Linked DNA regions of Neurospora crassa OR74A. The protein of the gene in region 4 purifies or fractionates together with the protein of the main gene of each other region. This does not show direct contact. Links are inferred from orthologs where the notes say so. Each region holds a gene or a part of one and is shown on either strand. Other genes may lie near its edges. The genes, in order: NCU03311, NCU03114, NCU06314, NCU07289, NCU17030 and hat-2.

Evidence for each region.
Region 1: the proteins of NCU07289 (region 4) and NCU03311 purify together in Saccharomyces cerevisiae (affinity purification with western blotting; 4 studies listed by BioGRID, with this or other methods). This does not show direct contact. The link is inferred for Neurospora crassa OR74A from reciprocal best matches to the Saccharomyces cerevisiae genes SUA7 and RNA15.
Region 2: the proteins of NCU07289 (region 4) and NCU03114 purify together in Saccharomyces cerevisiae (affinity purification with western blotting; 4 studies listed by BioGRID, with this or other methods). This does not show direct contact. The link is inferred for Neurospora crassa OR74A from reciprocal best matches to the Saccharomyces cerevisiae genes SUA7 and SSU72.
Region 3: the proteins of NCU07289 (region 4) and NCU06314 purify together in Saccharomyces cerevisiae (affinity purification with mass spectrometry; 3 studies listed by BioGRID, with this or other methods). This does not show direct contact. The link is inferred for Neurospora crassa OR74A from reciprocal best matches to the Saccharomyces cerevisiae genes SUA7 and CLP1.
Region 5: the proteins of NCU07289 (region 4) and NCU17030 purify together in Saccharomyces cerevisiae (affinity purification with mass spectrometry; 3 studies listed by BioGRID, with this or other methods). This does not show direct contact. The link is inferred for Neurospora crassa OR74A from reciprocal best matches to the Saccharomyces cerevisiae genes SUA7 and HRP1.
Region 6: the proteins of NCU07289 (region 4) and hat-2 purify together in Saccharomyces cerevisiae (affinity purification with mass spectrometry; 3 studies listed by BioGRID). This does not show direct contact. The link is inferred for Neurospora crassa OR74A from reciprocal best matches to the Saccharomyces cerevisiae genes SUA7 and TAF1.

Annotation. Positions count from the first base shown.
Region 1 is NC_026501.1:5,270,979-5,276,242, reverse strand, and holds NCU03311 (polyadenylation factor subunit CstF64), read right to left. Parts: upstream 3,043-5,264; 5' UTR 2,509-3,042; coding exon 2,457-2,508; intron 2,379-2,456; coding exon 2,253-2,378; intron 2,183-2,252; coding exon 2,061-2,182; intron 1,992-2,060; coding exon 1,323-1,991; 3' UTR 762-1,322; downstream 1-761. Other genes in the region: NCU03312 (CorA family metal ion transporter), read left to right, coding at 1-326, 422-698; NCU03310 (prohibitin-2), read left to right, coding at 3,398-3,647, 3,716-4,071, 4,131-4,457. UniProt on the Saccharomyces cerevisiae protein: RNA-binding component of the cleavage factor IA (CFIA) complex, which is involved in the endonucleolytic cleavage during polyadenylation-dependent pre-mRNA 3'-end formation and cooperates with the cleavage factor NAB4/CFIB and the cleavage and polyadenylation factor (CPF) complex.
Region 2 is NC_026501.1:4,604,129-4,608,661, forward strand, and holds NCU03114 (SSU72), read left to right. Parts: upstream 1-1,743; 5' UTR 1,744-1,908; intron 1,909-2,141; 5' UTR 2,142-2,201; coding exon 2,202-2,344; intron 2,345-2,405; coding exon 2,406-3,063; 3' UTR 3,064-3,494; downstream 3,495-4,533. UniProt on the Saccharomyces cerevisiae protein: Component of the cleavage and polyadenylation factor (CPF) complex, which plays a key role in polyadenylation-dependent pre-mRNA 3'-end formation and cooperates with cleavage factors including the CFIA complex and NAB4/CFIB.
Region 3 is NC_026504.1:2,943,019-2,948,293, forward strand, and holds NCU06314 (hypothetical protein), read left to right. Parts: upstream 1-1,670; 5' UTR 1,671-2,330; coding exon 2,331-2,940; intron 2,941-3,011; coding exon 3,012-3,278; intron 3,279-3,375; coding exon 3,376-3,638; 3' UTR 3,639-4,118; downstream 4,119-5,275. Other genes in the region: NCU06315 (inositol hexaphosphate kinase 3), read left to right, coding at 1-897. UniProt on the Saccharomyces cerevisiae protein: Component of the cleavage factor IA (CF IA) complex, which is involved in the endonucleolytic cleavage during polyadenylation-dependent pre-mRNA 3'-end formation. Associates with HRB1/CF IB to form the cleavage factor I (CF I) complex.
Region 4 is NC_026504.1:4,507,737-4,512,936, reverse strand, and holds NCU07289 (transcription initiation factor IIB), read left to right. Parts: upstream 1-2,018; 5' UTR 2,019-2,688; coding exon 2,689-3,735; 3' UTR 3,736-4,313; downstream 4,314-5,200. Other genes in the region: NCU07288 (hypothetical protein), read right to left, coding at 1-243; NCU07290 (nuclear localization protein), read left to right, coding at 4,671-4,725, 4,892-5,200. UniProt on the Saccharomyces cerevisiae protein: General factor that plays a major role in the activation of eukaryotic genes transcribed by RNA polymerase II.
Region 5 is NC_026505.1:5,320,793-5,325,848, reverse strand, and holds the start of NCU17030 (heterogeneous nuclear ribonucleoprotein HRP1), read left to right. Parts: upstream 1-1,822; 5' UTR 1,823-2,437; coding exon 2,438-2,481; intron 2,482-2,547; coding exon 2,548-3,000; intron 3,001-4,473; coding exon 4,474-4,514; intron 4,515-4,632; coding exon 4,633-4,796; intron 4,797-4,863; coding exon 4,864-5,056. Other genes in the region: NCU04241 (TBC1 domain family member 22A), read right to left, coding at 1-580, 663-788, 856-865, 955-973, 1,039-1,083. UniProt on the Saccharomyces cerevisiae protein: RNA-binding protein, which is involved in the polyadenylation-dependent pre-mRNA 3'-end formation and cooperates with the cleavage factor CFIA complex and the cleavage and polyadenylation factor (CPF) complex.
Region 6 is NC_026501.1:2,719,941-2,725,025, forward strand, and holds the start of hat-2 (histone acetyl transferase-2), read left to right. Parts: upstream 1-1,480; 5' UTR 1,481-1,857; coding exon 1,858-4,817; intron 4,818-4,873; coding exon 4,874-4,930; intron 4,931-4,992; coding exon 4,993-5,085. Other genes in the region: NCU16368 (hypothetical protein), read right to left, coding at 1-78. UniProt on the Saccharomyces cerevisiae protein: Functions as a component of the DNA-binding general transcription factor complex TFIID. Binding of TFIID to a promoter (with or without TATA element) is the initial step in pre-initiation complex (PIC) formation.

The DNA.
Region 1 (5,264 bases), on a different chromosome or scaffold from region 4:
GTCGACGATATCGACGAAGCCATTTTGCTACTGCACTCAGAAGACGATCCGAATTTCCCAACGGATAATCTCAAAGAAAAGTCTGAGGCCGGCGACGCAACATCGGCCGAATCTGGACGCGACATGCTCAGACGCGTGGGCGACTGCCGCAAAAAGGTGATGTCGCTTTACAGACTGCTCGGTAACAAGGCCGACGTCATCAAGAGCTTCGCAAAGCGTTGCAACGAGCATTGGGAGGTGGCGCCTCGGTCGGAGATCGGTCTGTACTTGGGTGACATTCAGGATCATATTGTGACCATGACTTCGAACTTGAGTCACTATGAGAAGTAAGTTGTCTCTCTAGCAATCCAATTGCTTCTCCACTAGTTACTACTTTCTAGCAAATTTCAAACCCAGAATCCTAACATATCATTCAACTTAGAATCCTAGCACGATCTCATGCCAACTACCTAGCGCAAATCAACATACGCATGAACGAGCGACAGGAGCAGACGGCTGACGTGCTCGGGAGACTCACCGTCTTGGGTACCATTGTACTCCCCATGAACATCGTTACCGGTCTTTGGGGCATGAACGTCTGGGTCCCTGGGCAGGGGAACGAGGGCGACCTCAAGTGGTTCACGGCCATCACAGCGGGACTGCTACTTTTTGGGTTTGGCTGTTATCTGATTGCGAAGCGTGTGTATAAGATTGTGTAAAGATACAGACAGGCACGCAAGCGAGTGAGTGGAGGCAAGTGAGGAGGGCTTATGATGTACCATACGGGTTCAACGACTATGTTTTGGACGAAAAGGTCAAGATCCTCTCATGTACTGAGAGAGCACATGTCTACATGACAGCGTTTTGGTTAATAAGGATGGGCAAAAGAAACAGAACGAAATACAGGCGTTGTGGGGTGGTGATGGCGTTTTGTGGAGTGAGATTGAATATCTGTCATTTTCGCGATTGGATAGACAGATGCTTCTAAAAGAATAAAGCGGAAAGCAAAGTCATGTAGTCCACAACTCTGTCTTCATCCCTTTGATGATGTGTGTCGTCTACCTGATCAAAGCTATGTCAGTATACATCGTTACGAAACTTTGACTTTGTTCAGCGGTTTAAGCTTCCAGACTGTGGCTGTTAAATTCACCGATATTTACCCTTTTCTATTGAACCTTTGCAATGCTCCCATTTAGAGTGTGAAACCGACCGCCACCACCATAACGCCTGACCAGCCTAGAAAAGAATGCATAACGACAGAAAAACAGGAACATGAGGCCCCAATACATATTTTTTGCCCATGTTCACGGAAAGTTGACTGGTTGAATCATCCGTCTGTCATATTAGCGTAGGCCCTGAGCAGAAAACTGAGCGCGAAGCGCCAAAATCTGCTGCCTCTCCGCTTCCTGCAGCTTGTCAATCGTCTCCTGCGGCAACTCCATAACGGCACGCATCAGCGCCTCTGCATCCTGCCCTGGGGCAGCAGCAGCAGCAGTCGGAGCTGGAATAGGAGCCGCGGCGACAGGTGGTGCTGCGTAGCCTCCAACAGGACCAGGGGCAACAGGGGGGGTGGCTATGGCGCCGGGATAAGCTCCGTACGGAGCACCGCCCATAGGGTTGGGGACAACGGGAGTACCCATAGGAGGAGCAGCAGCAGCGGCCGGGTTGTCGAGAACTGAGTTGATAGCGTCCGGCGAGACCAGGCCCATGATAAGGAGCGCTTGAAATATCGCGTAGCTCAGCTGGGGCGCTTGGTTGAGAAGTTCCGTGGCCCTAGCAGGATCGTTCGTCGCCAGCGTCTTCATCTGCTGGAGGATGTCGAGAAGTTGAGCCGGGGGAAGGGTGTTGAGGGTGCGGGAGATCGCGTCGGTGCAGGTAACATCGGGGGGAAGGTCTTTGCCCTGGGGCAAGGGTCCGAGAGCAGGAGGGGCGGCGCTGACGGGGGGAGCGGTGTTGTAGCCTCCCCCATTGGGAGGTTGAGCGTTGTAGCTACCGGAGGCGTTCTGATTCGACTAGGTAGGCCGTCATGGTCAGTGGATTGGGTGTGAAAGTGAGGTGAGTTGAGTTGGTTTGTGCCATACCCCGCCATCACGATCTCTGCCACCGTCTTCGTCGCTGACAGTCTCGTTGCTGAAATCGACACGCAGCTTGCGACCCATAATCTCGTGGTCGTTCAGGTTTCGTACAGCCGATGCAGCGGAATCTGGAGATCGGCGAAAGCTGATTAGCGTGTGCGCGGGAGAGGGATACTTGATTCAGAGATGGATACGCACCGTAGTCGGGAAATTCTGCGAACCCAAAACCCTTTGGCCTTCCAGTTTCACGGTCATAGACAAGGCGGAAGTTGAGGACCCGTCCAGCGCCGCTAAAGATTTCGGTTATCTGCTCTTCGGTAAGGCCTGCATTGTCCCTGTCAGTGGGTGGGCTTTTATAGATGGTCGTCGTCTGACCTGGACAGAAGCGGGTTGTCTGCGTACCATAAGGGATGTTTCCCACGAAGACCACACGTGAAGGTTGGCGTGTCGACATGGCGATGCGCGCGTTCACTGTCGAGCAAATATGTTGTACGAAGCGCAAAGTGTCTAGCAGTAGCGCTGCTGAGGGTGGAGAGGCACAATCCTGCGTGAGTTTGACTGCGAGCTGTGTGGGCTGATCGAATGGGAATCACCAAGCGAACCAAATGTTGGACAGGTGGGATGGGCAACCAGGAATTGGTATGAATCGATGGGAACAATAGGGACCGCGCAGGAACAGCGAACTTTGGCAAATGGATGAGATGGAAGTTAACACAGTCGTAGTTAGACTACCTGGTGGCAATTGGGTCCTCTTTAGCCTTTTCTCTTCAATTTCAAAGCCCAAGCCTGCTGCCAGATACCGTCGATTTGTAAGATGGGGGTTTGGTCGAGGTGGGAATACTCTGACAACGGGGAGAAGTTCTGGGAATGGAGTCAACCTTTTGGTGGCTGCAAATGGAAGTTTGTAGTTCTGGATTTGCACACGTCAAAAATTGGACTCTCTGTCGCTGTGTCGCTTCGACGATGGAATGCAGGGGCTATGTACGTCGCGGGGGTGGATACCTCTACTTGTCTCCGAGCTACGATCCATCAAGGTCCTGCTCCCGTCGCGACAAGCTATAGCGACCCACGTGAGCGTATGGTCTGTGCTTGACCAAAGTGAGACAGGCGGTACCTAGAAGCCCAGTTGCGCCAGTAGGGTGGTAGGCAGATGGCAAGTGGACTTTAGTGATGCGCCTCGCTTGTGGTTCTGCCTGTGGGTGGTCTTAGCTCCGACGCTGGAAAAGCTCGGGCAAGCTATCGTGACGACTTCAATCCCCATTTCCCCACCACATCCGTCAACCAACCCAGGGCTCCTACTCCAAATCATCTTTGGGCCGCCCATTACTTCACAGCAGCCCAGCATGTCGAACAACCCATATCAGGATCTCCTGAACAAGATTCAGCAGACTGCCCGGTCTCGCGGCGGCGGCGGTTTCCCAGGTGGCAGGCCCCCCATCCCTCCCCGCGGTTTGGGCCCTGCCTTGACCGGTTTCGCCCTTCTTGGTGGTGGTGCTTGGGTCCTTTCAAACTCCCTGTTCAACGTTGATGGTGGTCACAGAGCGATCAAGTACAGGAGAGTTAATGGTGTTAGCAAGGAGATCTATGGCGAAGGTTCGTCTGCTTTCGCCGCTTGGTCTCTATCTCGCTAGCCTTAATCGTTTTTCTGACAAGTTGAATAGGAACCCATCTCATGATCCCCTGGTTCGAGACCCCTATTACCTACGATGTCCGCGCGAAGCCCAGAAACGTGTCCTCCTTGACCGGTACCAAGGATTTGCAAATGGTCAACATCACCTGCCGTGTCCTTTCAAGACCCGAAGTCACGGCCTTGCCTCAGATTTACCGTACCCTCGGTACCGATTACGACGAGCGGGTCCTTCCTTCAATCGTCAACGAGGTTCTCAAGAGCGTTGTCGCGCAATTCAACGCCAGTCAATTGATCACCCAAAGAGAGATGGTTGCCAAGCTTGTGCGTGAGAACCTGGCAAAGCGTGCGGCCCGGTTCAACATCCTCCTGGACGATGTGTCGCTTACAGTACGATTCCTCCACCCGTTCTTTTGCGTCGTAGATATCTCTGGCTAACCATACCCCAGCACCTCGCATTCTCCCCCGAATTCACTGCGGCAGTAGAGGCCAAGCAGGTCGCACAGCAAGAAGCGCAGCGCGCAGCTTTTATTGTTGACAAGGCGCGTCAAGAGAAGCAGGCTATGGTGGTCAAGGCTCAGGGTGAGGCCCGTTCTGCGGAGCTCATCGGTGAGGCCATCAAGAAGAGCAAGTCGTATGTGGAATTGAAGAAGCTGGAGAATGCGCGTGCAATTGCGAACATCATCCAGGAGGCCGGCGGCAAGAACAGGCTGCTCCTTGATTCTGAGGGCTTGGGCCTCAACGTTTTCGAAGATCGGAGGTCCAAAGACAACTAAGCCGAGGCCTTTGGAAGTTAGAGAGGAGGAGCATGAGATGACGGATAAAAATCTCCGCTGTATATGTATCTTATGGATGTGACGGAAACCCCAAGTGTACAACAGACTTTAATGAACTTATCGGAAAGGCCGGATTTAGCGATGATCTTCAGAAAAGGAAGCTTTCGCAAAAAAGATATCCATCGAAAAGCTCGTCTGCAAATGGCCCTGTTTAGGTGCGAGGCATCCTCTCTATTAGTGATCCAAAGCGGTTATTCAACCTAGCGCGAAGGACGCCTCGTGGTGGATCAATGAAAGATGTTGATACAAAATCACCTGAGTTGCAGCTCGAAACATATTTGGTTCAACGGCGTTCCCCTCGGACAAAAAGTGAATACCTCTAGGTATGACCATTTCTACCGTAGGTAGCTTCAGCTCACAAAAAGACTCCAATATCTCAGTCAGCTACGGCCATGGATTCCTCTCCCTGATGTGAGCCGGTTAACAAGGCCGCTTTACCTCGGAGCACCTGTAGTGTCAAAGCTACCGAAGCTGCCCCGGCAACCCGAAGGGGTATCCAAACAACAAAAGCCAGGGCAGCCCCGTCCACAGCGGTGCCACCTACATAGTAGTGCGACCTCAGGCAGTCTCGTCCTACCGCCACGACGCTAACCGCGCCGGTAGTGCCTGCCCCACCACCCCTCCCCAGCCCGTCAACAGTGACCGTTTTCCCCGATGACCAACTCAACTCCTTGAACCGCTCCATTACCAAAATCAACCATCCCGATGCAGTCAGCTTCTTGAGTCAACAGAAGCTTCGCATCCACG
Region 2 (4,533 bases), on a different chromosome or scaffold from region 4:
GGGAACCAGGGTGTTTTTTTGGCCAGGGTTCAAGTCTGGTTAGAAGACCGAGTACCTCTAGGCAGCGAAGGGAAGGGCTGACCAGCCTGTGGTGGACGGGCGGAAATGCTTTGCCTTGTGCTGTCGAGGCGGGGAATACGTGTGGTTTTTGAGGTCCGTCCGTGTATCGTAGATTCGTAGGGCTAGGGAGACGGTAAACTTATAGCGCCCAATTGTGTAGATGAGGCATGTAGCTGTGTGGACCACGGACATCGATTTGCAAATGTTTGATGCTTGCAAAGCGGCCACAACTACCAACGGCTTGTTCAACGGTTCGCTTGTCCGTCGTCTGAAGTCTCGGAAATGTAAGGGCTCTGGATTCTGAGTGTTTCGGTTTTAGGCCGAATTCGTTAAGGGATCCCGTGTGAGGGACGCAATGTAGAAAAGATAGTGGTGAAAGTGTGCGAAGGGGCACACTGGGGTAGCAAGGTGGGCAATTGTCAGCTTAAAGAGCTTGTATAGACATGGAGAGGCCTTGTGTGGTCGGCAAGCTGAGATGAGCGATTGCGAGCTGTCAATATAGACAGGGTATGGTGGGAACGGAGGGGGATTCGAAGAAAAGAGGAGAAGAAAAAGAGGCAGAATCTCAGGCAGGAACAGGTAGGTAGATTTGGGGGGGGGGGTGCCGCATCAAGTTACTACCTCTACTTACGACGGGATACCTCTAGTACAACTTGGACAAAGTTAAGCGCGCTGCCGCAGGTTTACTCCAGGTTTAGGCCTGCTCCTCTCATTGGCAAATAGCAACCGCTGGTCACCTGCAATCAATCAGTCGAACCTCTGAGGACGGGACTCGGTCGCCTTGGACCAACATACCTAACCTCTTTGCTTATCCTGTTAGTGTCGACCTAGACGATGGCTGGCAAATTTTTGGGTAACGAATCGGGGTTAGGTATGGGGGGCTCAAAAAGTCCACTTCAGAGGACAGCTCTCGTTGACAAAGGCGGGCAACTTGCAGGACACACTGCAGTTTCTGTGTGTCAACCACGGAGATTAAAACTTGAATTTGATTTTACGCCCAAAATACCTCTACGTTCTAACACATATCGAAACAGGATATACCACGCGGGTAATACTGCCATTTGCAAATGTACTTTCTACGTGTGCCTCTATTGTTGGTTAACATGTTCCAACGAAGAAAAACTTCGCACGAAACTCTCAACTTCCCGTCCCAACAGGGATGTTTATCACTGCATGTTTGTGTCCACCATTGGATGTTCTCGATGCCTTCGATGTGGGTGATTGGCTCCGTGAATGCGTCCCGAACAGCAACGTGGTACCCATGGAATTTCCCAAGGCACTAGCTATGAGTTGCGCATTCCCTGTGTGGGACCTTTTAAGAAAAGTTATTGAAAAGGTAAGTTCCAATGTTCTGTGCACGATATTCTACAGTGCATCGATACGCATGGTGACCGAGGCTCGAGGCCCGTGAGGTTTGGGTCCTGGGAGAAAAAAAAAATACCTGGGGATCGTCTCACTGTGATTCTGCAGTGCATATCCGCGGACCGCTGCAGACTCGAGAGGTGGGGGAAGTTGACGAGAACGGAAAGAAGGGCAACGGGCTGCAAGACGCACGAGCCACCCACCATTTCACTCTGAAACACTGAAACGTTCTAATTTTGGAAAGCGGTCAGATGGGGCACTATGTGCGTATGACCACCACTTGTCCCTCGCAGTCGGTAACCAAACAGATTTGTTCCAAATTCCACATCCCACTTTTCACCGTCCAAAATCTCCGCGCCAGCAGCAACTGGTGAACAGGTTTGGACATCAACGACATTTAACAAGTTATATATGTGTGGTAGCAGGCTACCTCGACTAACTTAATCATCATCTGTCTGCGCTTTGCGCTCAGCTGAAGCTTGAAAGGTAATTCCTGCGCTCTTTTCCGCTCTCCCTTTATCAACCGTCTCTTTCCTTTATGATGATCTTTTTATTGGAGCTGTCTGTAGCCTGCTATGTCTGGCGTTTGATGACAAACTTTTACATACGCTTTTTTTATCTGATGTGTACCGAGGACAACCTACACTTTTGCACTTGCCATGTCTGTATCGCAGAAGGGAACGCATTGATAACTAACATTGGCATCTTGCGCTTTCTAGGTCTTTCCAGTCAAGCATGCCACATCTGCCACAGTAACAAGTTACCTGCAACTGCCGGCTATGTCTGCTGTAGATACCCCAACTGGTGCCGCGAGCTCATCGAAGCCGGACCAGAATGAGCAGAATGGTCAAAACGGTGGGCGTGAAGACTCTGGCGGCTTCAAGCTAAAGTTTTGCACCGTCTGCGCCAGTAACCAGAATCGGTGAGCAATTTTACGCATCGCATCGTCACGCAACTGGATGACCCCGTCTAACCCTCACCAGCTCCATGGAAGGTCACTTGCGACTCTCTCTTGCAAATTATCCCGTGATTTCGTTTGGTACAGGCTCTCTTGTCCGTCTCCCCGGGCCGTCCATTACACAGCCCAATGTCTACAAGTTCAACGAAACATCATACGATAGTATATATCGGGAGTTGGAAGCCAAAGACCCTCGCTTATATCGCGCAAATGGACTGCTAAACATGCTTGGGAGAAACCGCCAAGTCAAGTGGGGCCCTGAGCGATGGCAGGACTGGCAGATTGGAATGCCTAGAACCAAGCACAAGGATGACAAGGGAGCTGATGGCATGGAGGGCGGCGTAGCTGATGTTGTCATCACCTGTGAGGAACGCTGTTGGGATGCTGTGATTGAAGATCTTCTCAACCGTGGCTCGCCACTTAACAGGCCTGTTCACGTCATCAACATCGATATCAAGGATAACCATGAAGAGGCATCCGTGGGAGGGCGAGCCATTGTCGATTTGGCAGACTCACTCAACAAGATTGCTGCCGAGGAGCGGGAGAAGGTTGGCGCTTCTGCCTTTGACTCGGGAAGCGTAGGCGCCAGATCAGGATTCGATGAGCGCGTACCGGACGTCCTGGCCGAGTGGCAGGAGAGATGGCCGAATCTTCCTGCGACATGGACTTTGGCTTGGTTCTAAGCATTGAATTGGCGTATTGTTTGAGCTCGTGCATCGTAAGGCGTTGGATGTTCTTTTTATTGCCTGGCGGGCGTAATCGCGGTTACGGACAGGGTGGGGGGTACATCTTTTTGGGTTCATGATTGATGACCAAACAACACAGACGAACAAGACGTTTTGGCCGTCACAACATAATGCTGATTTGGACTCGTAATCTCTATCAACAAGCCGTTGTTATCCGGGATTTATGAATTCTGCTGCTGCCATGATTGGCTTCAACTTGCTATTTTGTGAGGTCGCACCCCTCCTGGTTTTCTCAGAATATGTCGACCTCCGTGATTTGGCAGGCCATTTCCTCTTCCACCAGCCAGACCGCCAATTAAGCATTTTGTTTGTTACGCATATGCTTACTTCTATCACAAACATAATAATATCGCATGCATACATGCTCGGAGATGGGAGCTCATCGGCCCACCTGACGAGTACCCTGCATGGTATCCCAAAAAGCATTTTAAGATGACGAGCCGCACGGTTCATTATACGCAACATTGGATGCAAAGAAAACATAGCAGAATTTTGGAGATCTTCCTTGCTTATTGGGATCTGGGGTACTCAACGGTTGCCAGCATCTAGAAAATATCGAAACATGCACAACCGGGCAACCGGCCGTGCCCCCGCAGTGAGCAGGCCTACTTGTGACAATGCAACTAAACGCGCGAAGGTCAAAAATGAAATACATGGGGCTGTGGTGGCCATTGGACACACACTTGGAAGACGAAGACCATTAAGGTTACTGCTAATGCATGTTGTCACTACCTATCATGTTGGGGTGTTGGGCGGGAGTGCCCGAGGTCGAGGTGGCATTTGATGTGATGCGGGTATGCCTACATACCCATGTGGATAAATCTCAATATCTATATCGTCGGTCTCAAGTAAGAATTGCATTGTATTTCGGCAGACGATTGCCGGTCTTGGGCTGTTTCACAACGAGACGTTTTAGTGGAATGATAAACCACTGCAGCGGCGCAGAGTCGATCACCGTTGACTAACATGAGAGACCTGCCATAGTAGAAATGCGAAGGGGGCTTGAAGTTGGCGATCCCGTCAGAGATGAAGACGCATTCTGAGGCCAGGATACCATGTGAGAAAGGGGCTCGAAAGAGGAAGTTGTCGGGGTGTCTCACAAGACTATTTAAATTGCTCCCATGGGGAAAAGGGAACAACAGCTGCTCGGTCGCCTACTAAGTGCCAGGCCGAGATTGATATCAGGCTTTTGTTCCCACTTCCCACTGTACGTCGACGGCCGGGGCTAGGGCCCAGGAAGCCCGACATCGAGATGCGAATATGAGGGGATTCGAGGCCGACAAGGAATGGATCTGGGTCCAGTTCCCTCTCCATTTAGACCATGGTGGCTCGGTTCCTTTGTCCCAGTCCCGGTCCCGGTCCTTTCGGAATCCCCTCTAATAGCTGCGTACATATGTGGTTGTTATG
Region 3 (5,275 bases), about 1.6 Mb from region 4:
TGGACGGAAAAGGCCAAGTCCAGAAAGATCGAGACCAATAAGTCGGTGGTGCTGGAGAATTCAGCATACGGTTACACGCGTCCTAACATTATGGACGCTAAACTCGGCAAGCGGCTGTGGGCAGATGATGCGCCCAAGGCGAAGCAAGAGCGGTTTGATATAATCACCAAGGAAACCACCAATGGCTCGCACGGGTTTCGCATCGCCGGCATGCGCGTTTACAAGGGATCCACCAACCCCTCTGAGCTGGACGAGCAGGGTTATAAGGTCTACGACAAGCATTACGGCCGGTTAGAGGTCAATGCCGACAATGTTGTGGAGGCGATGCGCAAGTTCATTTTCAATTCTCAGGCCGGGATAGATGAGGAGCTTGGCAAGATCATTGCGGGTCTCTTCCTCAATGACCTAAAGCGCATCGAGGAGGTGTTGGCTTCGGAGGAGAGCAGAATGTACTCGGCGAGCTTGCTGTTCACATTCGAAGGAGACGGCAACGCGTTGAGAGCTGCCCTTGACCGGACCCGAGCTGACATGTCGGGAGAGCAATACAAGAAGGATGATGGACCGTACACGCCAGGTCTATCTGCATCTCGCGTTGATAGTGGCATCGAGATGGATGACGAGGGGCAGATGGTGTTTCCAATCAACGCAGCCATCGGCCAAAACATGATACTGGCGAACCTGGCTCAGGCACCTGGTTCCCAAGACATCCAACTCACTGCCGATTCCGACGCAGACAGCATGTCGGGTTCCTCGAACGGCGATATTCCTCGCATCTACTCCCTCAAACTCATTGACTTTGCACATGCCGAGTGGACACCCGGGCAAGGCCCAGACGAGAATGCTCTGTTTGGCGTTCGGAGTTTGATCAAGATCTTTGAACAGCTGGCAGATGATTGAAGGGCGGGTTTCCGAAAGCAATCGTGGAGTTAAGGCGGCATTTCAAGGCGTTTGGGATTGCAATTGGGGCTACCTTGCGAGACTACGGTTAGAGCATGTCACGGGCAGGTTAGAGGAAGGAAAAGAGACGAAAAGGGAAGAGAGCATATACGAATATATATGCATAGGTAGAGGAGAGGTTTTTGACGTCCGTTACGAACATCATTGAAAGAAGGGGAACCAGCCACACGGGCTATTAGGGGGACGGCAATTCTTTTCACGCAATATACCCCTTATTTTTGTTGTACGCTGTTATCCGATCTTGCCACAACTTGAACGTAATTGTAGTATCTGGATGTGGTTGTTGTTGTTGATGTTGTTGTTGTCTGTGACAGCAATTCACAACTTGCGCTGGAACCATATGCCATATTTTACTGTTTCAATGTTTTTTCTTGAAAATCTGCTATGAAGGCAGACATGCTACTGAAATTTGACAAACTCACCAGCAGCTGGTTAGAGGCAATAGGTACTAAAACGGGCTGCTTTTAACTCGATTTTCAAACACTCGAACTGGGACGAAAAGTGGAAGCGGAAAGCACAATTACACCTGGCAGTCTGGAGTAAGACAACCTCAATGAATGCCCTTGACACGCTTAGTACCTTCAGGGTACACAGCGTTTGAGCCCCACTGCCCGCAGCCGCTAAACTCACCTCAGCTTCAACAGCCCTGGCCTTGCTGCAGTGAGCATCAGCTCCCCGTCTTCCACTTAGGTTCCATTGCATGCCACAATAACCTGGAATCCCTGCATGCCAACGGCTGGACTTTACAACTTTCACCCCCATCGGCGCAAACGCAAACAGAACCTTACAAGAAGGAGAACGAAATACAAGTACATATCCAACAGCCTGTGAACAACCTCGTTCACGCGCTGAACACAGCCCGCAATGTCAATTCCAGGCCTCGGTCAGATAGCCCCGCAGGTAAACGAACCCAAGCTCTCGCGCGGACATGCTTCGTATAACCCCAGGCGCGCACGTGTATCCAACGGCATCACCATCTCCTCACAAGCCATTATTATCCATAGGCACACTCGTGACCCGAGATCACAACCAGCTAACCATCGCCTGCCATTTGCCCGTTTTCGGTAATCCAGGCTCCCACAACCACCCAGCGGACCATTAACCTCCGACCGTTCGGCGAATGGCGCTTCTCCATCCCCCACCAACACAGCACCTTCTCATCGAACTCCTCCGCCGCCGGAGTCACCGTCCGCCTCGTCGCCGGCACTGCTGAGCGCGATGGCACTGAGCTCGCGCCCAACTGCGTCTACACATTTCTCCCCGGCACCAAATCAAAGCTCTTCACCGATCAAGGATGCACTCTGGAGATCAACAACACGGGCGGCTACCCCCTCGAGGACCGCGTGGTTGAACACCCGCCGGAACAGTCGCCCATGCTTAGCTATATCAACCTCCACTTTGGCCTCCAAGACCACGAGCGTGCCGCGGCCGCTCAGGCACAACAACAACATCCTACACACCACCAGCAGCAGCAACAAGGGAGAGGAGCAGGAGCAGGAGTAGCGAGGTCAAAACCCGGGCCAAGAGTGCTGATCTGTGGTCCACCCGGCGTCGGCAAGACCTCGCTGGCGAAGCTCCTCGCTGCCCTCGCCACGCGCATGGGCTCTCAGCCGCTGGTAGCCAATCTGAACCCGACCGACGGGCTGCTGTGTCTACCCGGAACGCTGGGTGCGGCCGTGTTCGGCACGTTGATGGACGTGGAGGAGCCGGCGGGTGGGTTTGGCGTGACGAACACGCCGATCAGCGGTCCCAGCGCGGTGCCAGTCAAGAACCCGCTCACATTTTACTTTGGACACGAGAAGGTGGAGGACGACGTGGACATGTGGAGGCAGATGACGGAGCGGCTGGCGGTGTTGGCCAGGCGCAAGTTTGAGAGGAATCGGGATGTGAGGGTGGCGGGGTTGTTGGTTGATACGGCGCCGGTGGAGGCGGGGGACAAAGAGGGGCAGGAGCTGTTGGGGTGGGCGGTTAGGCAGTTTGATGGTGAGTTTATGTCTGATTGGCCTCCAGAAAGACCTCATCAAGAGTGACGAAAGCTAACAATGCAACTATAGCAAACTTCGTTGTGGTGCTAGGCTCTGAACAGCTAAAGACAGAACTTGGGCAGCGGTTCGCAAGCGAGAAGACGAGCTTTGAAGAGCCGATTACTGTCCTCGGGTTAGACAAGTCGGATGGTGCTGTACAGATTGACAAGGCGTGGAGGCAGAAGTCTACAGAGACGGCGATTAAGGAATACTTCTTTGGTGGCATTAAGGCGCGCTTGAGCCCCTTTACACAGTCAGCCAGTTTCGACGAACTAGTCGTTTTCAAGGCGCCTGACGGTGAGTTTTCTCTCTCTCTCACTCTCTTTCTCTCGCTGCACTGAAACTACCTCACCCTACCTGGCACCTAAGCTAACGCCTGTCTTTACCAAAACAGAACCCTATGAAGGCGCCCCAGTCCTCGAGCGAGTCGAAATCACCCCCGAAATGGCCCACTGGACGCTAGCAGTCATGATCGCTTCCGTGACCGACTCGCCGCAAGCCATCCGCTTTTCCTCGGTCCTGGGCTTCATCGTCATCGCCGACGTGGACCAGGAGCGCAGGCGGGTCAAGTTCCTGTCGCCGGTCAGCGGTCGGCTGGGCAACCACCCGCTGATATGGGGACGCTGGCCGGAACCGTATCTCAACCTCCTGGCGTAGGCTCGCCGAAACGTGATACGGGTACGGATGAGAGATGGTGGTCACCAATTGAGCCTGCAAGAGACAAATGATCTCCGGGTTTGCTTGAAGGTGTGGCAAAAATTGACGGATACGGCTGGCGTTGGGTTGGGCTTCGAGATGGAAAATGGTGAAAATGGCATGTAAAGGTGTTTGTTGTTATTCTTGCTTTTGGGTGTCTTTTGACTAGCATGAGAGTGAGCGGGAACAGATTTGGTACCTTGTTATTCTCCTTTGGTGGCTTGTTTGATTCTTGTTGAACATTGTTATTGGTACTTGAAAACGCAAGGCATCAGTCAGTTGTATGCTTTTTGCAACACTCATATCTACCAGTCACTCATTGATATGGGTTTCGTGGTAGAGAGCATGATTTTTGGTCTCTTGAGAGTTTTGAACGTTCTGCTCGAAATGGAGAGTTCCTAACCAGCTTCAGAAAGTAATCGTACTATATCAGCAAAGCTCACATCCAAGTTTTCCCACAGTAATAAGTAGATCAAATTAAAGACGCCGAGATACATATGTCTCAAGTTAAACGTTGTTAGGAATAGAAACAAGTTATGTGCAATGTGTTTACGCTGGTTGTAACATAGTATAGAGTCTTCCCGTTTGGTACTCGTCTAAGAACGTGACCGATTTGTTTATGGTTGGTTCCCCCTATTCTTGTTTTCTATCCTGGCCCATGAGGCTATGATACTGATGGTGACCATTCGGACGAATGACATTATATGCAGTAGGTCATTTACCTTCACCTTATCGCTAGAATCACATAGTGAGCGTGACGAGTTACCTATATAAGGGGATTCAAGGGCACCAGGGCACCGTTAAATGTGCATGGCAAGTAAATTTTCCTGTACATTGACATGCTCCCCTCCGGGAGTCAGTAAAAACGTTACTTCGTAACTCTATCAGCAATGGTTATTCACTTTGCTGGAGAAAGAGGTACATCCTCCACTAGGAATAAATATCGCTGTCCTACAGTAGTTTCTTATGGTACGTAGAGCATCATCTTTCCGAATGGGTATAGAGTCTGGGGTGTGTATCATGATGACTTCATATTGTCAGCCTGCCTTCGCAGGCTAGCTCGTTATCTGAAGTTGTGGATAAAGAGCGTCCGTTGGAGATTGCCTAACTTGTGCTTTCTTTGTCCACTCACTGTAGCTGACCAGCGTCATGAATTTTGCTGAATAATGAACAAGATATCTACCTTGAGCAATACTGGTAGTCATCGTATAAGGAGGACAAACCGGAGAACTCATATAACATCACGTGGTCAATCTGGCTCTTCCCATCATCAATCTCTTCTCAAGAAGTCATTCGGCGGCCACAATCGAAAATGGCTGATCAAAAAACCGTTGGACGTTGAACGTTGGAAAATGCCTAATGTCGTTCCTGCCATCCATCCAACTGGGTACCCATGATGGCTTTTTTATCAAATCAAGGCATTCCCTGCATTCAGGAGGACAAGACAATGGGTATCGTAGCCGGCGGGCGCGGACGGGGAACGGGGGAACGGGAAACGGGAACCGTTGAACTCGTGTGAAGGGTTCATCCAAGGTTCTCTTGTCCAAGGTTTTGGGCGTCATATGGCTTGTCCTGCTCGTCATTGTTCATACAGGAAC
Region 4 (5,200 bases):
CGAAGTCGCCCGCGCGGCAGTGAAGTCGCGAGTGATGTCCCGGAGCTCGGAAGCGTTGGAACGCCAAGAGGCTGCCATTGAGGAGCTGGAGTGTGGGTTGGAACTTGTACTGCAACCAGAGTTAAGGTTGGCAGATTTGGAACGAGAGTTGGAGGAGGTGGAAGAGTTGGAAGGGCTGGGGTTAGATCTGTCGGGGCTGGTGACGTAGAAAGAGAACTCGGGGGCTTGGTGGGGGTGTGGCATTTTTCTGATTGTGTTGTTTTCGAAGACGATGTGAAGTCTGTAGACGCGTGGTGTCGAAAGAGTTGTTACGTATAACTGGAGGCATGGATAGGGTGGGGATGTGAGATCACTTATACTTGTGTCAGTCTTGCGGTATCATTCAAAATTAGAGGCTTGGGGAGAGGGCCCGTTGAGGATGACAGCACGGCTGTGTAGTGGTGTGTTCTTTGTGGCATGACGGCAACATCATTGAGTGGCTAGCGGGCTGGTGACAATCTTCTTTGTGTGGGTGTTTTTGGGGTTTATGGCTTTCTTACCGGGGAACGCGGATCTTTTTCGCGGATCCTTTCCGAGGTTCCTTTTCTTTGTCAGTGGTTTCCCGTTACTGTCACTGCCACTGCTTTCGAGTGGATTTTGCGCTTTGACTGCTGGCCGATGATGCTGCTGGTGTTAAGGAGCCGTGACTTGAAAGGAACATGCCGTTTCCAACTGTCGAGTGACTTGGGAACGGGTACACTATCCGGCTTCGAAGTCCATCACCACGTTGACAGCGACTTCTCTACGGAAGACACGAGGGGGGGCCTGAAACACAAGTCAGTTTCAGTTCCTATCAAGAGGCCTGGTGTAGCTTGCTACTTAGGCCACCAACATAAGATCACGATCTTCCTATTTGTTCCTCATGCACAGCCCACTTAGTCCACAGGTTCAACCTACTATAAATTTCTGGTGATTCCCGCAAGGATAGTAGTACCTGGATTCGAAGGTCGTTCTATCGTTGTTCGTAGACGCAGGGACCCCAAAGAGCCGTTACGAGATGCTGTCTAATATGCAGGTTTGGCGTGGCAGTCTTCAAGTCCCCTGTATCGTATCAGAGGTGAAGCAGATTGGTGTGGGGGAAGAACGTGTCGGTTCGATTCGATGCGATGCGGCTCGTCCATAAATAAGTGGAATCCCGGGCTCCGGATTGAACTCCGTCGATGCAACGTCCGGTCTCGGAAAGTCCGTCCGAGAACCATCAAGGATGCATGGCCTTTCTTTTGTAAGGCTGAAGGTATGCAGTGGCAACACGGGGGAAGGTGGGGAACTCCCCTGTTCCAAGGGAAGGGCGTGTTCGTCGACCTGGAAATCAGGATTCGGAAATGGTTTTGGAAGTCGAGAGATAGTACACTACAAAGCAGTCAAAAGCATTCTGCCCGTGACCACCATATCTGAAACTATCTCAACTAAGAGCTTTAAGTTGGGGATCGGACTTGGAAATTTGGTCGCCAAGTCTAGCCCTTCGACCGCGGCGAGGCTCATATCAAGCGCTAGAATTTCTAAGCCATTTGCAGGTCCAATGAGCAGTTGGAAGTTGTTAGTAGAAAGTGCTTCTCTTCAAAGAGGGACTTTGATCAAAAATCAGCCCGTTTCTCTCGAAGTACCTAACAGGGACCATATCCCCAAGAAAAACCATTTCCTCTTCTGAAACAAGTCCATTCATTCCAGGTCGACGAACACGCCCTAATAAGGAACGGTCCGCCTCGAGTCGCTACGTACTTAAGGTTACCTATGTGGGGCTCAGCAGCTGGGGTCAAGGCGTCCAGGTTGAATGGAAGCAAGATCGCGCCATGCAGTTCCTTGGTGCCTGCTGAGGTGTCACTGGGGCCATTAGCGATTAGGGCCAATCCTACAGCGGCTGTTTGCCAGTGTTACGTACCCGGACCTACCTCTGCAGGCCGAACCGCACCTACCTAACCGTCAGCCAAACAGCCGGAGCCGGCCCGTCAGTCTTCCTTCCCTGGAGGGTTTCCACTTATCTGCGACTCAGGTCAACAACAGGCAGCCGGACTGGGCCTTTTCCCACCTCCATTCTCTTTCTCTTTCTTTTTTTTCTCCTCAGGACTCCGCGCCTCGCCCCTTCGTCCACGCACATCTTGTCAACCCGTCACTGCTTGTCGCTCGCTCGCTCGCTCGCCGTGCTCAACCACAAATCATCCATCGAAAGGACGCTGCCGACAAAATTCTTTTGTCGTTGTTGAAGTCGGAACCAAGGAATTCAATTTCGACCGCTTTCCCGTAGGTTCTGTCGCGCTCGATCTGAAGTCCATCGAAGCATCTGTAATCCCCGACGACAACACTATCAGCGTACCGACCGTGACCCGACTGTTCTGTTCTGCGGCGACCTCACTCGAGTGCCTCCTCGGACGCCTTCACTGGTACACCAGAGCAGTCACGTCCAAATTCAGCGAGACAAGCCCATTTGCAACAAAGGGCTTTGATCTCTCTCGTCCAAAGCGACGCACCAAATCCATCAAAATTTGGGCGTCGCGCCACCTTCCCCGCCTTCGACATTTGTTCGACCATTTTTTATTTTCCGGCTTCTGGATCCGCTGCAGAAACTTGAACCCGCAGTTCACCTGGGTCACGACGATTTTCCCATTTCCTCCAGATAGTACAAATACACAGTACCGTTGAACAACGCCCAAAATGACCGATTTCATTATTCCCAAGCCTCCGCAACAGGAGAAGTTCAAGGAGAATCTCCAGAATCTCCTCATGTGCCCAGAGTGCAAGGAAGATCCGCCTCACCTTGTCGAAGAGTTCTCGTCAGGAGACATGGTTTGCGGCTCCTGCGGTCTTGTGCTGGGCGAGCGCATCATCGATACCCGCTCTGAGTGGCGTACTTTCTCCAACGACGACCAGGGCAACGATGACCCCTCTCGTGTTGGTGATGGTCCCAACCAGCTGATCGATGGTGACCAGCTCCAGACCACTATCGCGTTCGATGGCAAAAACGGCAAGAACCTGTCCCACCTTCAGAACAAGATCACTCAGGACAAGAACTCCAAGCAGCTTATGCAGGCCTATCGCGATATCCAGGGCTTGACGGACAGCATCAACGCTGGTACCCAGGTGGCAAATGCTGCCAAGCACATTTACAAGCTCGTCGAGGACAACAAGGCCCTCAAGGGCAAGTCTCAGGAAGCCATCACCGCTGGGTGCATCTTCATTGCATGCCGCCAAACGGGAGTGCCGCGTACGTTCCGCGAGATTTACAGCCTGACCAAGGTTTCGAAGAAGGAGATTGGCAGGGTTTTCAAGCAGTTGGAATCCTTCCTCCAGAAGATCGGAGGCGAGGAGCATGCAATCACGACCAGCATCCCCACCTTCAACCAGCAATACCAGGGCAAGGGATCTACTACAGCTACCGAGCTTTGCGCTCGTTACTGCAGCAACCTCAATTTCCGCAACTCAGTTGCGGTCGAGGATGTTGCCCGCCAGTTGGCCGACAAGACCAGCACTATTTCGGAGCTGGCTGGCCGTTCTCCCCTTTCCGTCGCCGCTGCGTGTATCTACATGGCATCCCACATCAGGAACGAGTCACGTACGTCCAAGGAGATTGCGACAGTGGCTGGTGTCAGTGACGGAACCGTCAAAACAGCTTATCGTCTCCTCTATAACAAGAAGGACAAGCTGCTTGAGGAGATCTTCCCTGAGGGAGTGCCAAACCTCGACAAGCTTCCTGCGAACTAGGGGCCTCGGGTGCGCGGGTAGTTTGGATAGAGCGTTGGCTCTTGGTGGGCGGCTCCGCTTCTTGATTTCCACGGGACAGAATCGCGGCGTGACAGCATTGCGTTTTCTTAAGCTTGACAGGGTGGTCAGCCTCACTGAGATGACAAGGTTATCCTACTGAGAACGTGGTGGCTTTTAAACTTTGGTTTACGGGCAAAAGACGATCCACAGGCACGTCCGGATTTTCGAGAAGCTTGGAAGCATATTGGTGGTCGGAAGAGAAGCAGGTTATCATATGCCCAGAATAGGGCTGGTGGCTGCGGAGGCTGGTTGCAGCGCGGCAGGACAAAGGGGCCTGGCACACTATGAGCATAAAATGGGAAACGAGGTTAGATCGATCAGCTTCTACTTACCCAGGCATATCGGAAGGGCATTTTCGGGTTTGAAAGTTGATCTTTCCTCGAGGCATTCAGGGGAATTCTTTCGTTATTTGCTATTTGACTTGGCACCGACAGGGACTTGGGGAATCAAGATAGTTAATACAAGATATCAATACTCCCCATATGGAAAACATGAAGTCTAGAAGAGACAGGTTTGTCGAATGTGTCCATAAGCTGGAATCCAGGACTTCAAAGGGATGACTTACACAGTACAGTGCTTGGTTTATCTGGTTGAAGGGCTTTGTCATCGCACCGTAAAGGAATTCACAGTGCGCTTGACCACTACACTGTACACGCCAAGTGGGTCAATGGGCAGTCGCTTCACACGCAAACCACCACTAGCAGGACTGACTGCAGCGGCTTCACGTCTCCCACCTGTCAACCGCGTCTCAGTAATTTTGACATCGTCACCTCCAAACCCCAAACACAACTCAACCGTCCGCCTTGCTCTGCGCCGACACTCCAAACCCCGATCACAGTTTATCGCCAAGCATACAATACGTTAGCTTCGAAATCATGCCTTCCCGGAGATCAGGCCGCGCAGCCGCGAAACGCGCACAACAGGCCCTCGGTAAGTTACTCGATTTCATCATCGTTTATCATTTGGCATTTCCTCCCTCCCTTTGCTTGTACAAATGTATTCCATATTGTGTGGTCCACTCCAACGAATGCAGCAGCCACGCGCAAATCCTTCCATTTCAAACAAGCAGTTACTTATCAAAGCCATGCACAACCAGAAAGCACCCCAAAGACATTCGAAGGCCTAGACGACGAGGATGAGCCTATGCCCGATGCCGATCAAGACGACGCCGAACCATCACAACGAGACGGCGAGGATGATGTCGAGAAGGATGATGAGTCGGGTGGTGATGGACACGAGGAAGAGGAAGCCCCAGAGGAAGACGAGTCGGGCAAGAGCCCAAGCCCTCCCCCAGAGCCTGTCATCCGCCGCCGACGCTTGGGGCGACCACCCAAGAACCGACCTCCCGACTGGGACACTCTGCCGATCGAACCCCCCAATCGTGACGAAAACGCTCCTCGCCGTC
Region 5 (5,056 bases), on a different chromosome or scaffold from region 4:
GATGGTTGATGCTTGAAGAATCTTTTTGAATTTGTTGATCCTGGTTATCCTCGAGTTGACAGCATCGATTTCCTTCTGGGAAGCATTAGGTGGTACGGAAGGATGGTTGATTAGGTGTAGGGCGTTTGCGGGATCGCGGAGTATGTCTCTGTACTGTGGTCGGAGGATCTTGCCTTCGGTCTTCTTGGGCATTGGGTAGGTAGATGCTGGTCGCTCGATGGCTATGTCGGCGCTGTCCGAGTAGCGACGTCCGGTTGCGTCTGTGAGTGTGTTTGTCGCAGTTCCTCGGCTGGTTCCTTGTTCAGTCTGCGCTGCGATCCGACGCGACCTCCTCTTCATGCTGGACAGACTGGGAAGCCCAAAGTCATCGTCACCATCGTCTTCGTAGGCGTATACATCGTCTGCGTCGTCGGCCGCCCAGTCTTCGTTGGTGCTCGTTATGAAATTCATGTAGTTTTGGAAAGGAGGTGATGTCACCCCTTTGATATGGGGCGAGGCTGTACTATTGGAAGTGGTTCGGCCGAGGGCAGAGGACGAGGGAGGAGGGGTTCGTGGTCGCGATCCGGCGTTCGACAGATTTCTAGTCCAAGAGCGCCATAGTCAGCAAAGACGCCGTCGTTTCCCAGAGAGACATCCAAACAGTAACGCCGGCACCAACGCACAATGAATCAAACTTGAGCATGTCGGCATGGGAATAGGCAGCGCCAACGACCTTGCCCGAGTCGCGAGTGGTCGTCTTCTTTAGCGGGGCATCCTTCTGGGGCGCTCTCCAAAAAGGGGAGCCAGAGCTGTCGCATTGTCCGAGTCATGTCAGTGTTTCCGTCTTTGAGTTTAGGAATAGGACTTGGGACATACTCGGACCTGTCTGAAGCCATGACGGGACATGGGATCAGCAACTGGTTATACAACAAACAACGAAAGAGGGGGGGGTTGTAGTCATCAGGCAGGACATACCAACTTGCACCATCTCCTGCTGGCGTAGCGACATCATGGCCTGTTAGCATCATTGGAGTGAGGAAATGAAGCACTAACACGTACCTGGGGAGACGCTTTCTTGCCCGAGCTCGAAGAAGAAGAAAACATTATGTGAGTGGGTAGTATACAAACAGGACTGGTGATTTCGCCTTGGTTTACCAGCGCAATGGCATCACACCATGGTCAACAATGTCGTTCGTTGAAAGGGACGGAGGGAATGTCCATGGAGCTAGACAGGCAGACAATGGAAGTGGCCGTTCCTGTTCCCTTCAATTCATTGATGGCGTGGTCGTGTTAAGCCCATCGGCTCGTTTCCTGGGTACACAGCGGTTGCCAGGCTCGGGGCCACTAACAAACACATGGCTTTTGGCAACCGGGCACGTCCAGGGCATCTTGCCCATCATTCAGGTCATCTCATCTCGGTGTCTTTGCCTTCCTGTTCCAGCAGTGATTGACTTCAGTTGGACACCGTCCGCCTGTCACAGCTCGCCAGCTGTTCGCCAGCCTCAGACGGGCAGCCGATGTCGCTCACAACTTGAACCACTACAGCGCATGGGCAGCCCACCTCAGAGGGTGTGATAAGGTGCGCTGGACTGGCACCCCCTTCCCCGCAGGTACACAGGCCTCGTTGTATAGGCTGTTTCTCACCGCCTACGCGCCTAGAGGTAATTGGCCCTTGCAGACCTACCATAGGTACCTACCTCTAGACACGCGACTGCCACCTAGGTGGGCAAGGGAAGTGCCGTAGAGGAGTCATGTAGAGGTAGTACCTAAGGTAGGTAACGTCTTTTTGTTAGTACCCGACCCCAAGTCTTGGTTGCCGGAAGCGCCCCAACTCGCGGTGCCGGTGCCTTGAATCGGGGTCCACACCCGACCGAACCTTAACACTCGGCGCCAAACTGAATGGGACTGCAGGGCAGCGGCGAGGGGACTGAGGCAGGCAGACTGATGGAGTTCCAGGTCCGGTTTCTTCACTTGAAAAGCAAACGACGTCCACTCTTCCACACTTTCCACCTTCACTTTTCTACCCAAGTCAAGTCATCCTCGACAGCAGCAATCACAACCACAACCGACGACTTCATTAGTTCACTTGTACACCCAATCCGTGCCCAAATTCGGGTCTTTTGATCTGAGGGAGGAAACTGTACAAGCACCTGACGGACTCGACTTCCACCCACCTCGGGCTCTACTTGAGCTGCTCCGAGGTCCATCCGCCGCATCTCTTCTTGCGACGAGACAACTCGACCACTACGATCCATTCGCGTCTCGCTGCTTCTCGACGACTAGACCATCTTAAGTTGTGTATTCTTTCTGACCTTGTTCGGCCTGGTCTACTTCCAGCAATCCTTCCCCGCCCTACGCCATCTCAGCGTTCCACACAAATACCAGTCTGAATCAACCTCAACTCTCATCTCTTTTCCATCTTCGATACCCGGTATTCAAACACACAACAACCGCCAAAATGGCCGAAGCAGAGAATTACGAGGATGACCTCTTCGACGACCTGTATGTTATTTTGAGTACTCGCGTAACCACCCAATCTGAACATGATCTGACACTCTTGCGAACTAGGTACAACGACGACGACGCTCCCGCTGCCTCAAAGCCAGCCGCTGCACCAGCTTCCGCCCCCACTACAGCTCAGACTTCAGCTACTGAGCAGCCTTCTCAACAACAGCAGCAACAGCAGCAACAGCAAGAGCAGCAGCAACAAGCTGCCGCCGTCCAGCAGTCGGCTGCTGACAACTACGGAGGATCCAACGACTACAGTCAGCAAGGCTACTACAATGGAGGCAACGGACAATACGGCAACGATGAGGAAGAAGACGAAGACGAAGACGATATCGACTTCAATCTCGGAAGCGGCCCGTCCACCACGGTCGCTCGCCATGAGGACGACAACAACAACCAAAACAACAACCAAAACAACAACAACAACAACAACAACAGCCAGTCTCAATCGCAATATCATGCTCCCCCACCGACCCAGGCCCAACACAAGGGCCCCAATGCCAAAGAAGATGGGTAAGTCACATCCCCTTGATGCTATTCGTGACACACGTATATGCTCGTAACATCCCCCAACCCCCGTACAACCCCTCTCTGTATCCTCGATTTCGCCCCGACGCAGCTGCAGCCCCGCCCAGGCTCTCCCACATGAAGAGATGAACACCTACTCGAGACCCGCTCAGGACGTGGCGTCCCAGAACTGCTCGGTTGGCTGGTAGGGAATGGAAGGATTGGGCGGCGCAAGGACCTGATGAGCACAGTAGAGTCTTGGTATCAGACACTCTGAGTTACTCTGGCGCGTATGGGTGAACCATACCGTATGGATGCACCAGGGGCTACAAGACTGCAAGTGATCAAAGGCAGGAAGGGATCGCTCTCCGCTATGGACGTGAACATAAAAATCGGGAGAAAAGAGGCTGGAAGCCGTGGACTTGTCCAGGGTCACGCCATGGATCAAGCTTCGACGTCAGATTGATCCCGGAGTACGCTCCTGTCTGTACTACAAGAATGGTGGATGGCCTTGCGGAGGTAATCTTAATAGGGCGTGAGGGAACCGGCTTCCTTTTGCCAGGACGGTCGATGAGCCTGCAGCCAGAGCAAGATTAGCAGCGAGAAGGGCAGCACCCAGAACAGATACAGACAGTACCTAGCTTGACGGTAGCAAAGAGCTCGAGACAGCAAAAAAATTCGAAGAAAGATTCCGGCACACCCAGAGACCACTTGGAAAGTGGAACATTGCTGCGCTGCTGCATCTTCTGTTCACTCTGGGAACTGCCGTAGCATCCCCCCACCCTGGCCCATTTCCGTCAAGTCAAGTCAGCATTCGGCACATTAGGACAGCAGTCGTCTCGTCACCCTTGAGAACATCGCGGAGGCGGCTTCCAACTTCTCATTCGCCAAATGACAACCATCATACGGTCCTCGGTCGGTGGGCTCCGCCAACCTGCGAAGCCAACGGGAGAATCACATCCATTGCCACACCCACAGTCAAAACACCAGGCCCAGTATAAACAAGATGAAGGGTAGTTCTTCGGATATTGATGGTGGAGCCCATGCTATGTCAAGGATCATGACGGTAGACGGTCCATGTGGTCGAACTAGAGGTCTGGGATAGACATTACCTGAGGCTGCTCAAGTCCTGGCGCAACGGCTGGGCAAATGGGCTTGCTTCCCCAGTTCACGCTATATGCACGCGCCTCTCCAAACAACGGCTACAAACATGCTTCCGCATCACACTGATTGGTAGCTCTTGGGTTCGCGTGTAGCCATATGCGGATTCGCTCAGGATTTGGGTGTCTAAAGGGCTAGGCGGCTGGGGCTGTTTGCTTGATCACTCGCAATGTCTTTCTCACATCCGCATTTCATCTCATCGAGCCCACACATTCTTCACTGCCCTCATGTTACGCTTACTTGTTCATGTCCAGGTATCATAGATTGCTCAAAAGATGATGTTGACTAACGTCTTGCGCGTGCGCTTGTGTCTTATAGGAAGATGTTCATTGGTGGCCTGAACTGGGAGACTACAGACCGTAAGCCTTGCCATTTTCCCTGTCCTCTCCTCATGGTAATTGTTGCCCTCAAGGGGCACCATATGTACCATATGGTATTCGTGACAGTTGTACTGATACCGGTCTTGTGACTTTTTAGAATCCCTGAGAGATTACTTCTCGCAGTTCGGCGAGGTTGTAGAATGCACCGTTATGAGAGATGGCGCCACCGGTCGCTCGCGTGGCTTCGGATTTCTTACCTTCAAGGACCCAAAAACAGTGAACATTGTTATGGTCAAGGAACACTACCTTGACGGCAAGATCGTACGTTTGCCCGCCATAGCTCGTCTAACCCGTCAAATAAGTGGCCACTAACTCATTCTCCTTATAGATCGACCCGAAGCGCGCCATTCCCCGCGATGAGCAAGAGAAGACTTCCAAGATCTTTGTTGGTGGCGTTTCTCAGGAGACCACGGACCACGAGTTCCGCGAGTACTTTGCCCAATTCGGCCGTGTCGTCGATGCCACCCTCATGATGGATAAGGACACTGGCCGTCCCCGTGGTTTCGGCTTCGTCACCTTTG
Region 6 (5,085 bases), on a different chromosome or scaffold from region 4:
GGACAGCTGCTTGCCGACGAACCTCGCCCTTAGAGCATCTTGCTTTTGCTTCAACTCTTCCATTACGGGGTTTGCCATGGTGAGCAGTGTGGTATTTTTGCCCTCGAAACTTCACTTGGTGTGCGAGGTAAAGAAAACGGTGCAAAAGGCGATGACGAAGCTGCTATGGTAGACGCAGTATGACTGTGGCCCACAATATCGGCTGATTTGTTACATTCTTTAAACCACCTAATCCAGTCATCTCAAGAAAGAGGAATAGTACCTCTAGTAGGTAAATGTAGCTTTGGCTTTACCGACAGCCTAGTACGTAACCATGGCTTCGGCCGTGGCTTTAACACAGTTTCCCACTGTACGTCAAAAACACCATTGGTAGTGAGTGTACTGTTGCTGAACTTCATGGCCCTGCCAGTTCGCAGGGTATAACATCCGAACTGTCATGCCAAAAACGGGCTGAGCACTGGTATGGGCGTGCGAGTGTGGTTGCAGAGAAATGAGAATCCAGAGAGACTGGAAATGACATCTCGCATCAGTTCAGGTGTGTTCTGCCCCCCACGTTGCGGGTGACATTGTGGCCATTTGGCCCGAACAGAGAGGGAGACGGGACTTAAGTTGCGCGTCACTCTACTGTTGTAAGAGATCAATTAATCAGTATTTGATTTCGCTCTCGATTCATGTCTCTTCGCCTCCAACGGGGTCCTATTCCTTCTGTACCTGCCGTTGATTTGGTTGTCACACAAGGCGGGGAAGCTTTAGTTCTTCCTCCATATTCTTTACTTTACCTGGATGGTACTTGTAAGTTGTAGGTGAGGTCGCATACCGTATAGACTCGGGGCGTTGGTTTTCAACTTTCTGGGAAATCAGGCCTAAGCTGTAAGCATACTGCAACATTCATGCCCACCAAAAATTCTATGCAAGACGGTGATTTTGAATGTCTCCACGCTCCAGCGCCCTTGAAAAGATAGGTGTTTTAAGGCAGGACATTGAAGAATCGAATTTACCGTGCTTCGGGGTGGCAACATGGAAGTCTCCTCCAATTAATTTTGTGGACATAAAATGCACATAATCGGGCAGCATGCTTACAGGTTATGCCTGATTTCCTAGGAAGTTGAAAATCAACGCCCCGAGTTTCCAGGTTGTACAGTTTAGGTATTAGGTACCTGGGCTACCTACCTCTACCTCTACCTGTACCTACCTACCTATTCCAGGTTCCTTACCAGATTCCCAAAGCAAGTTCCAGGTTCAACGCTACCTAGGTATTATGCTTCAAGACCAGGGACAGTGTGCGCGAGCCATTCACTGCACTTAGCGTCCCCCAGTCACTGCCCTGGGGCTGCTCGCTAGGTATCTAGAATAGGTAGGTACCTAGGTAGGCTGTCACACGGCTGCCAGACCCGGGCCCGGTCAACGGACCCACTTAGAGGTACCTAGAGTAGCCGTGCAGTGGCCCCGACAGGCCGATTCGTTGTTCGCATTCAAGCACGCTTGCACTCCGCGCAGTGGCAGTGTGCTTCCTTGCTTGTGGGAGGTTCAACACTTTTGCAACTTCCGCTAGGTACCGTTGCAACCTCAACGTCAACCTCACCCTCGACTCACCCGACGGCCATTTCGACTCTGCCACAACCACGACCCAAAATTGCATGCGGCGTTGCCAACACCCCACCAACACCGAACGCGCGCTTGGTTCACTTTGCTCCCCCGCCGCGGGCATTCTCGACGATTTCTCCGCTCCAGGATCATGATCTGACAGCTTAACCGGCCGCGCAACCGTTGGAGGGAGCAAGAGAGAGACGGGCGGACGACTGCGCGACAGACGACAACACACAGCGTTGAGGCGGCATCGCCTCTCCGCCCGGCAAGATGCCCGCAGACAACGACGACTTTGATTTCAACGCCCTCAATGAGGAAGGATGGAAGGAGCAGGAGGCCCGCGATGAGGAAGCCATTCGCCAGATCAACAACAGCTTCGGCCCGGGTGGTAACGATGGTCTGACTGAAATGCTGGGGAACCTCCAGTCGGGAGGCGAGATCGATCAACGAGGCAAGGCAGACGATGCCATCGACTTTGAGGACATCGACTTGAGCGACGAGGACGAGCTACCCAACGACGAACCGAGCACTTCCGGCACCAGTGGCGAGCTGCCAAGCCTCATCGACGACGCCGGCACTAATGATGACGACGACCTCTTTGGTGGCGACCCCTCATCGCCCATGGACACAGCTCACGATGGCCTGAGATCCTCTCCCCCGCCGCTCGACGTCCATGACGATGTTGATGCCAAAAAACGTCCGGATGCTGCCGCCGGGGAGTCCCTTGAAGACCTCCGGAACCTCAACTTCGACAATGACGAAGAGCCGCATGCGACAAATCAAGATCCCGACATTCCTCCGCCAGCGGAAAACTTCATCGACGCCGTCAAGCAACTATTCCCCGGTTTTGAGGAAAACGCCATCCTGCATTGGAACGAACTATTGAAGCCCAAGAATGCCACATGGATCTCAAAAAAGCCCCCCAAAGCTCCCAAGCCCTTGATACCATCAAAACTCAGTCTGGAGTTGGATGCCGATCAGGAAAAGCAGTTCCGGATTCCGGGCCCTGCCACTGGCTCCGTTTGGCAGAGGATTAAGGAAGCGGAAGCGAGAGGTCTGTTCTGTCTCGAAGAGCCAGAGCCTTTGGAACAAACCGATCTGGAAGTATTCAGCTTGGACGACGAAACGGATTCGGAGAGGATAGGTGGATATACCCTCCAGGACATAGCTACGATATGTCAGGACTGGGAACAGATGATTTTCTTGGGCGACAGTCTTGCGGCTGCCATCGAGCCGGGACCGCAGCCGAAACCTGACAACATGCTCATTAAGGATGAGCCTGATGAAGAGGCGGACTGGGATGCCATGTTCCTCGATGAGCCTGCTCAAAAGCGGAGAAAGATCGAAATTCCTAAAGGTCTTCCTCCTATTGCTCACTTCACGGCTCCAAATTTGGACGAATTCGAGCAGGTCACTTCGAAATTGGGCAAGCGTGTCATCCTTGACATGAACGACCCTTATTTGCTGATAGACGACGTCGAATCTGAGCGGTCATCTAAGCGGCGAAAGACCCAACATAAAACGGTCCGCTTGGCGAATGGGAAAGCTGGGCGGGACCTTATACAGCGGTTCAATTTCTCCTCTGACGCTGCTTACGACGCGTTGAAGGAGAACAGCCAGAATAGGGTTCGGGCCACGTTGGCTACTATCCCTGTCGAGCACAGTTTGCCTGCGCAGAGACTGTCTTGGCCTTACTACCGCGTCAAGCTCGCGGCCAGTGACCCTCATAGTTATCACCGGCCTCAGCTCCACCCTAAGAAGGATCTGCAGTATCTCATCAGGTTCGACAAGCCTGCCATTATCAAGCGCAAGACTCTCAAGGGTAAACGCGTCAGCGAGGTATTTAAGAGTACTCATGACCTCTCCCTCAACGACAACTCGACCGCTATCCTTTTCGAGTACTGCGAGGAAATTCCCACCGTTCTCTCCAACTTTGGCATGGGACAGAAAATCATTAATTACTTCCGTCGAGCTAAAGGCGCTGATAGCAGACCTGAGAAGCGTGAGCTTGGCGAGACTTGTATATTGATGCCAGAAGATCGCTCACCCTTCGCCATCTTCGGTCACGTCCACCCTGGCGAGGTCGTGCCTACTCTTCACAACCACATGTTCCGCGCCCCTATTTTCAAGCATAACCCGAGGAATACAGACTTCCTGATTGGTCGTAGCAGTACCGGCCAAAAAGGCTCAACTTGGTACATCAGAAATATCGATCATCTTTACGTTGTCGGCCAAACCCTGCCCTCCATGGAAGTCCCAGGGCCCCATTCCAGACGTGTTACAAACATTGCCAAGAATCGTCTCAAGATGGTCTCGTATCGCCTACTTCGCAAGAGCGAGCATGTTACCCTCCATGATATTACTAAGCATGTAGCTGAGTCCAACGAGTCTCAGAATCGTCAAAAGTTGAAGGAGTTCCTGCGCTTTAGAAAGGAAACAAAAGATTGGGCGCTGCCCGAAGGCGAAGAGCTAATGGCCGAACCGGCCATTCGATCTCTTGTTAGGCCGGAAGAGGTCTGCCTATTGGACGCCATGCAAGTGGGCTTGCACGAGATCGAGAAGGGTGGTTATGATGCTACCGATTCCCTCAAGGACGATGACATTGGGGTTGATGTGAACGATGAGCTCTCTCCAGATGCTCTTGCCAACAAGATGGCGCCTTGGAAGACTACCAAGGCATTTCTTGACGCCAGTCATGGCAAGGCTATGCTTGCAGTTCATGGCGCCGGCGACCCGACGGGCAAGGGACTGGGCATCAGTTTCCTGAGGACGTCCATGAAAGGCGGCTATCTTGAGCAGCTCCAAGGACCAATGGCCACATCAGCAGATGCCATAGAGAGGCAGCGCAAAGCGAACGGTGGGCACATGTACAACGTCAAGAACCAGGACACACTCTACACCGAGGCTCTTACCGATATCTGGAACCGCCAGCGGGAGAGTCTCTTGGATTCCCAAGAGCACGATGATGAAGATGTGCTTGGGCAAGAGGATGAAGACGAGCGTTTCAACGTACAGGGCAGCCAATTCGCGCAAACCCCTGTGGTCCAGGACGGTTTTAGTCAGATTAGCCAGAGCGCCACCAGTGCTATTAACCGGAAGAAGCTCGTGATCACAAGAGAGGTGAGGGATGAAAATGGCCAAACACGGACTGTGACAGAGGTCGTAAGGGACCCTGCTGTCATTGCTCAGTACGTCAAGAGGCGTCGCCAAGAGCAAAAGTCCGAGATTGAGTAGGTTCCCTCCCATAAGCACTTGAAGAAGAACCAATGACTGACTTTATTCGCAGTATCTACAATGTTAAGATGACCGGCGACCAAGAGCGGGACGCCGTTATTCTCGAGCTGTTGGTCACCCTCTACGCATTGTACTTGAAAGAAAGGGCCGCACACTGACATTGCTCTTTAGGCTCGAGAAGGAACATGATCGTCTCATGAAGAATAAAATGAGAACAATGAAGCGCGAGAGACAGAAACAACTACAACAGCGCCTCAAGAGTGG